2 linked regions of the Caenorhabditis elegans genome follow. The protein of the gene in region 2 purifies or fractionates together with the protein of the main gene of each other region. This does not show direct contact. Each region holds a gene or a part of one and is shown on either strand. Other genes may lie near its edges.

Region 1 (3,925 bases), on a different chromosome or scaffold from region 2:
TAACTTCGCCGGTCATTCCTGAAGTTTATATTTTAAGTTTAAAGAGATTCTCTATACCATAGTTTACCTTCAAAAGCAGTGGTAAACTTAGGAATTAGCAGTGACAAATTTCCGTAGACATTCGGATCAGTTGAATTCAAACTTGACACTGCCATTCCATACATGTAAAATACATCAAACAAATGTCTGGCATAGGCTCCCATGCCCTACAAACAAAACATATTTTCAAATTTCTATATCAATTCACTAACCGTAGCATTAGTTATTAAACATTCTGGGACTTTACAACTCAATGGGGGCTCTCGAATAGCATATACTATATTTTTAGTCATATATTGCAGAAATGTTTTGTCTCGAACTTCACTGCTTGTATCTATCTAAAAAATATATTTAGAGAGACCTACTGAACAGTAAATCACCACAATCATTTTGGCAGCTACACTCTTTGCCAAATCTTCCATACCATCAGGATTCACAGTGAATGATTCCCATATTGGAGGTAGGCCAGAGAGGGTTACTGTAGAATATAGGAATATTTGATAAAAATAATCACAAGTAGACCTTACATGGCTTTTTCCCAACAGAAGTTTGAACTCCAAAACCGACGCTTCTCATTGAAAGCATAACATGTACATACTCACTAGAATTCATTCCGAGTAAACCAGCTTGAATCAGATAAAATCGCTTTTCACCTCCAGCATGGGCGCAGAAAAGGATTACTGGAAATGGTTAAGGTAAAAAACAAAATATTCAAAGCAAATGAGTTTAAAGAATTCAATTGCGGAAGCTGCTCAAAAAATTGGCTCTCTCTTTCTCTGACAAGTTCCGATAATATGCAAATTTATTAGAAATATGCACGGGGTGAAATGAGATTAGTCAGGGTCAATACTCCCAAAATTGAATTAAACCCATTTACCTCTAGCTCTAGTCTTGACTACTTGAAGCGTTGCACTTGTGCTTTCACTGTTGGAACCATCGATTTCTGCCTTCATTACAATTTGAACAGACTTGCTCTCATTATACAAGGACTTCTCCACATCATTTACGACCGAACTACAGTAGTCCAACTCATTCTTAAAATACAACAAAGCTACACGATCCCAGCCATAAATCTCTAGAAGTTTTGATGTAACTACTCCGAGTCTGCAAATTGGCACTACGAACTGCTCAAATTAGTTGTCCAAAAAGCCACGATGAAACTGAACTAACGTTTTGGTGCTTGGCAAGACCGACGCAACAAATGGAAATCTGTTCATATCAGAAATCTCCGATTCACTGACAAATCCCCAACCGAGTACTGGTTTCTTGTATATTGTCGACAGAGTTCCCATCATTTTTAGTGCCGGAGCACAAGGCGGTCCGATGATCACATCGTAGTTATTGGTTTTCATAAAGTTCAGTCCCGCCCTGACAGTATTTGCCAAGTCACATTCTGTGTACTCAACGTGGAATCTGGAAATATAAAGTTGCAAACGGGACTAGTAATAAAACAGTGATTTCAGTGAAGAAAATTTTGAAATTTAATTTTTTTTAAAGAAAAAAATGAGATAAATTCCTGAATTTTTTAAAAAACTATTTAAAGCTCACTCGAAATCAAAATTCAACATATAACCATGCGATTTCAAATATTGCAATGCCAATGGAACAGCTCCACCAGTATATGCCCATCCAATTGATCCATTTTCAGTTTTCAAAGCTGCAGTTATTCCAACCCGAATTACAGGCCTTGGGCCTTGACCATGGGTCAAATTGTACGTTAGAATGGTAGAAATAAAAATGTAATAATTTAATTGGCGCATTGAAAAATAATATTTAGAAAAGAGTATCATAATTCATGGAAGTAGTGGGCAGTAGATGATTGGCTTCTTTTAAGCTTTACCCCCATTGACGTATGGCTGCTCTTTTCGAGAAATTTTAGAAATAGAACAGGAATAACACTTGGCGGAATGGAGTTTTTATCTGAAAAATTTCAGATTTGACCTCTCATGCTCTAGCAGGGGATCTGCTTCCATATGCCTCCCGAGCTACTACTGTGGCTGAGATCGTGACGAGTTCCACGCAGAAATACATCATCCGCTTTTAAACTGAAGTGTCAAGTTCTGACTTATGTAAATATAACATAAATTTGACAGAAAAGTGGTATTTTTTATTAAAAAATATGTGTTGGAAAAAACGTCCCAATTTTAAGTTTTTCCTGAAAAGTAAAAAATTTCGGTGATTCCAATGAGTTTCCGTTTATACGGTGCCATTGATGACAAGGAAGATTACGAGTTTCAACGGAGAATATTTAAAAAGTAAAAAATATAATAGCGTGTAAAAATGTTTTGAATTGTTTTTTTGTTTTCAATTTTACACGTTCTCCTTCCCCATCACTTTCAATTTTCTCTTCATTTCAATTTTCATGGTCAATTTCACAAGCGGTGAGTTTTAATTTGCTGAAATCTAAGCCATCCACGTAGGCTTAAAGTTGCCTACCTGAATAACAATAGGCGTAGGTCGCCTATCAAACTTGTCAGGCATGAGGCACTCAGGTAGGCACTTTAATGTCTTCGTTGAAGGCACTTTAGTGTCTTCGTTAAGATCTCGAATTCTGAATCAATCTTTTTCAGATGCAAGTACCACTGAAACTTCAACTATTCGCGATCCGACCGCAACCAGCAAACACACCGGTAAATGGAAAATGTGAAAAGGTTAACAAAGACGATTTGATCAATGAGGACGACCGTAATCTGCACAAAGTGGTCTGCCGTCGCTGCAAGTCGGTCATCTTCCCGGAGGACGTTGTGATGACCGTCGAGAATCAGCCATATCAGCTTCGTGTGATGACACATCAAGCGAAAGGACCTCTGGCTCAAGAGAAAATCAGTTGGTGGTGGTATACTGAGAATGATATGATCTTCGATACAGTCGGATGGCAGACAGTCGACAAGAAGAAGGTGTTGATGTGTGGAGACTGCGAGTTGGGACCGATCGGTTTTCGTTCGGAGGACAATAAGAAGTTCTGGGTGGCTGTTGAACGTGTCAAGTATGAAAAGTCCTAGTTTCAAATTTTTGTTTATGAAATTTGGAATAAAGTATCAGGATTTTAATTGAATATAAATATTATTCCGATAAATGATTTTTTTCAAACTTTTTCCATATTCTTGTTATGTTTCTCTTTGTTAAATTCTCACTTTTAAGAGGGTTTTTTTCCGATTTTCCAGCCATAGAGAAAGGTGTGATCCAAGAAATTCTGGCAGACTATTGTTCGAGTTAAGTATTTCCAACTCCCACCATTTGCAATCAAAGACAGCTAACAAAGAAAAAGAACGTTCATTTATTCAATTTAACTATTGTTTTTAACATTCATTAAATCTTAATATTCGTATATATTTAAACAACTTTTAACGTATCCATTTTTGATTTTCCACTCCTCTGCCTTTCTGGATAAGGTGTCACTGCTCGCTTCTTTAAATCTTCTTTCATTTGTGGAGGCCAATTCTCATCAGTGATAGGTGGCGTTGTTCGAGTGCTCAATGATTTTGTGTCACTGTCAGTTTTTCCGAGAACCCAAAATGTTTCCATTACACCTTTTCCTTTTATAATCACTTCTCCTCTTGAACTTGTTTCATATTGATGAGGATAATGATCTGTGAGCAGAGAATGTGCAGCTTCTGACATATGAATCATTGATGGTTTTCCATTACTTTCCATTCTCGACGCAGTGTTCACTGTATCCCCAAATAGGCAATAACGGGGCATGGATAGACCAACGACACCGGCAACACAAGGCCCTGAAAAAGTAAAATTCGTTTAAATTTTTAAATACATACGCCAAACTCACCACTATTAATTCCAATTCTTAGTTCAACTTTTTCTCTTGGTAGGTGAGGAACCTTGAAGCTCTTACAGTAATCCATAAACTTGAGTGACATATCAACTATTT
Region 2 (3,925 bases):
TTAACACAATCATCCAAATCACCATGAAACAAATTCGGCTTCATTGATTCCAGCGGGCTTCTTCCTAGCATTCTAGCAGATGCCCACATTAAGTTACATTCGTTGGTTGAGTTGTCATAGGTATAGGATCTGAAAAAAATTTCAGCTTTTACAGATAATAGTTTAAGCCTTCAACAAACCTGCAAACATCTGAAATGCGACTTCTTATCACACACATTTGTTCACATTCATCAAAACTTCCAACATTTTGAATCAACTGATCACTGACCGATTTCAGCCCACCCCCGTTGACACGCATAAATGTACACGCTGATGACGTCATCGCATCTGAAAATTTCGGAATTTTTTGTGCAAAAAAAATTGACCTACAATCAACGCAATTGTTTTCATAAAGATCCACAGAATAGCTTGCTTTGAAGTATAGTCTTGGATTGTACACAGAGTTAAGGGATACTCTGGATAACTGGCATAACGAGGTGTCATTGTTGTGCAGAGCAGCACGACAAGATGACCTGAGAAAAAAATTGACTGAAATTTAAAATAATGTCTTGAAAAGATTTTTAATTTTTTGAATATTTCCAGAATATTATTTAAAAAACAGTAAAATTTTTTAACGCATCGAAGTTTAACAAAACAGAACACACTTTTTTTTTTAAGTTTTTAATTCCAAAATGAAAAGTTTTATGTATGTAGGAACTTTTTTTACATTTATTTTGAAAAATAAAATTTGATGATAAGTTTTCGATCAGAAAATTTCAGATTTTTTACAAAGAAAATTCTTCAATAGACTTCAAATTGTTTCCATCATCACAACATATAATTTTAAAATTCAGAAATTATTTTGAATTTAAAAATATGTTATAAAACTGCATCGAACTCAAAAAATATTTTAAACTAATTTTCTAGAAAAAAAACGAAAAAATAATTTTTCAACTTTATCCCTTTTTCACTTTTTGCGGTTTTTAAGGTATATTATTAAAAACTAACTCTTTCTGACACTGTGACAAGCATTCTTCCATCGAAATCGAAAATGTCTTGATAATAAACGATGAGTTGACCAACGACCTCCCTGGGAACTTTTCAAACGCAAAACTTCTCTTCAAACATTTATCTGAAATTAAAGGGGTGAAAGTCAAAATGACCACCTCGCCGTCAATTACTCACTTTCCAAACAAGTTTTCGTTCCTACCGTCCGAGATCCAGATGTCGTTAAGACGGGTGACTTCGAGTGAAGATGGCAATTGAAACCACCGTTCTTCTTTTCAATGGGTTCGGCGTTCGAGAAAGTGAAATGCGTGCAGTTTGGTACCTGACGAGAGTTTTTCGGTCGTTTAGTGAAATTATATTAGCCAGGGAATTAGCTACTAGTTGCTATATGGCTTCCAAGGAGGCTAGATCCCAGCTCCCTTTAAGTTGAACTAGAATGCCGGCACATCCCGCGAAACGTCAGCCGCAAGACAAAAAAGCTTACCGATGAGCAAAACCTGGTGCATTGTGATAGACTATCCACAGATTTTCGAATAATAAGACTTGCAGTGGAGTTTACGGATTTCAAAGTCTCCAAGATAAAAGTGATCTCACATGGTGATACTGTAGACGGGAGTGTTGACAGAATAAGAATCAGGAGAAAGGGATATTTCATGGCATCACCTGGAAAAAAAAGAGGAAGTTGTAAGGAAAAAGCTTGGATATGGAAAAGTACGGAAAGACGGGAAATGTCTGTTTGTTAGTGTTTGTAGGATTTCCATTTATTTCTCTATTTCTAGATTTATGCAGACCTAGAAAAAGAAAACTGAACAAGTTTTAGTTCTGAGGAAGACCCTAGGCGGCATTTATGAGTCTTCCTGGAATAGTTTAAAGTTCGACAGAAAGATGAAAACGTTCGACAAAAGTATGACAAACTTCTACAGAAGGTTGAGGCGTAATACGATGAATTGCTCTTGCAATTGGACAACGTTTGACAGAAAGCTGTCAAAGTTTGAGTGGTCAGAAATGGAAAAACTTTCTACAGAAATATCACAAAGTTTGACAAAAAATAGGAAAACGTTTGGCAAAGTTATCACAACGTTCGAACAAAAACTGAGCTAATGGAACTCTTTTTGAAAATTCAAACGTAAAAAACCTCAAAAAGTCAAGCTATTTCGAAGATGTATGCAAAGTGAAACGGAACTTGGACAGGAAAAGTTTAAAGTTGCATTCGTTCCGGCAGGTTAATTAATGGACACCAGCAGTCGGAAGGGCGGTGAGGAGGGTAGGCGCATCGTCGGTTTAAACATGTTATGGGGTTACAAACGACTAGCATGAGTTATTCGAAATGGAGAGAAACGGGCGTTCTAATTGTTTGTAGAGTTTGGATTAAAATTTTTTTTTGACTTCAAAATTTCCAAAAAAAAAAAATTTGGAACTTCAAATTTTAAAAATCCTCGTAAATCTACACAAAACTCAGTACGTCTAAATGAAAATTTTTAGATATATATAAAAAATGGTAAACCTGCAAGAAACCACCTGAATCTACACAACCGTCATAAACCTTCAGAAATTCTGTAAATATACAAAATTGGTAGCATCTACATTAACACTTCGTATATCTACAAGGCGCCACGTAAATCCACACAAAATCTCGTATATAACAACACAGCTCAGTAAATCTACACAAAACACCAAAAAATTTGTTTTTAACTCCTATATTCATGGTTTAATGACATACCAGGTAAGTGGTTTGGCTTCTACCTACCACCCCAAAACGGGAAAACAGTAGACATATATCTATCGTTTCGGCGGTAAGCAAACATGCCGGACACTAAATGACCAGCAGCGGCCAGCCGACGATAATAGCAGGCCGCCGCCTGAGAGACGCAAACATACTGGAGAATCAAAAGGGCACAGAATCGAAAGTGACGGTTACACGGAAGTAGGTGAAAGTTTTGTCCAACTGACGCTGTGAAGCTTCATGGGATTCAGGTCACATATCCCAGCTGGGCAACCTGTTGATAGAATTGTGCAAAAAAGGTTCTCCCCGGCCGGGAATTGAACCCGGGTCTCGCATGTGACAGACGCGGATACTCACCACTATACTACCGAGGACACGGGAATGCAGTGTAATCGGTGCCATTAAAAAAAAGGAGAGAAATGAAAGAGATAGCGAGAGGCGAAAGTGGCAGGCAGCTGAACAAGCACAATGAGGAGACGGCTGGCAGTATAAGGGAGTACACAAAATTCAAACTCCTTAAATATGCAAGAAGGCCCTAAAATCTACTAAAAATCTAGCAAATTTACATGAACACACGTATATCTACAAAAATATCGTAATAATAAACAGAAATCTCGTAAATCTACACAAACCCTTGTAATCGACAATGAAAACTACAAAAAAAATTCAAAAACCTATTCAAAAGACCACGTAAATACACATAAAAATTTATAAATCTACACAAAATTCTGTTGGTCAACTTGTAAATCTACATCAAGCTTTGTAAATCTACACTAAACTGACGTAAATCTACACAAAACATGAACATTTGAATAATATTCTATGCATATTTCGATTTCTTCTGCATATTTTGTTTTCACTAATCTCAATTCAACACACATTATTCTCGGGAATATATCTACGCCCCTCTTGACTCTCTCTCTGCATCTCTTCAAATCTCACACACACTCTATCACAGCGTCCAGCAGAGAACCAATTGGTGGATTTATGAAACAATAAAGATGTGCGCGCAAAAAAAAAAACAACAAAAACGATGAGACAATCCGAAAAGAAAGTGACAAGCTGTTGAAGAGAGATTATCCGACGGGCGGTGGCGGAAAAGGTTCCGGATCAACTGGAATTATCTGATCCGGTGATTCGCTTGATTGGAAAACATTGAAAAAAGAATCAAGTAGGTTATGAGAATAGGTGTCCTGGAAATAATGTATATTTGCC

The links.
Region 1: the proteins of cutl-28 (region 2) and gcy-4 fractionate together in Caenorhabditis elegans (co-fractionation; one large-scale study listed by BioGRID). This does not show direct contact.

What each region holds. Positions count from the first base shown.
Region 1 is NC_003280.10:10,307,028-10,310,952, forward strand, and holds the start of gcy-4 (Receptor-type guanylate cyclase gcy-4), read right to left. Parts: upstream 1,800-3,925; coding exon 1,588-1,799; intron 1,453-1,587; coding exon 1,210-1,452; intron 1,144-1,209; coding exon 917-1,143; intron 720-916; coding exon 567-719; intron 518-566; coding exon 420-517; intron 378-419; coding exon 252-377; intron 207-251; coding exon 68-206; intron 19-67; coding exon 1-18. Other genes in the region: ZK970.8 (Mss4 protein), read left to right, coding at 2,610-3,041; Receptor-type guanylate cyclase gcy-5, read right to left, coding at 3,373-3,773, 3,824-3,925. UniProt on the Caenorhabditis elegans protein: Guanylate cyclase involved in the production of the second messenger cGMP. Regulates chemotaxis responses toward Br(1-) and I(1-) salt ions in ASE right (ASER) sensory neuron.
Region 2 is NC_003282.8:682,222-686,146, reverse strand, and holds the start of cutl-28 (CUTiclin-Like), read right to left. Parts: upstream 1,651-3,925; 5' UTR 1,643-1,650; coding exon 1,472-1,642; intron 1,310-1,471; coding exon 1,165-1,309; intron 1,112-1,164; coding exon 988-1,111; intron 513-987; coding exon 370-512; intron 328-369; coding exon 180-327; intron 130-179; coding exon 1-129.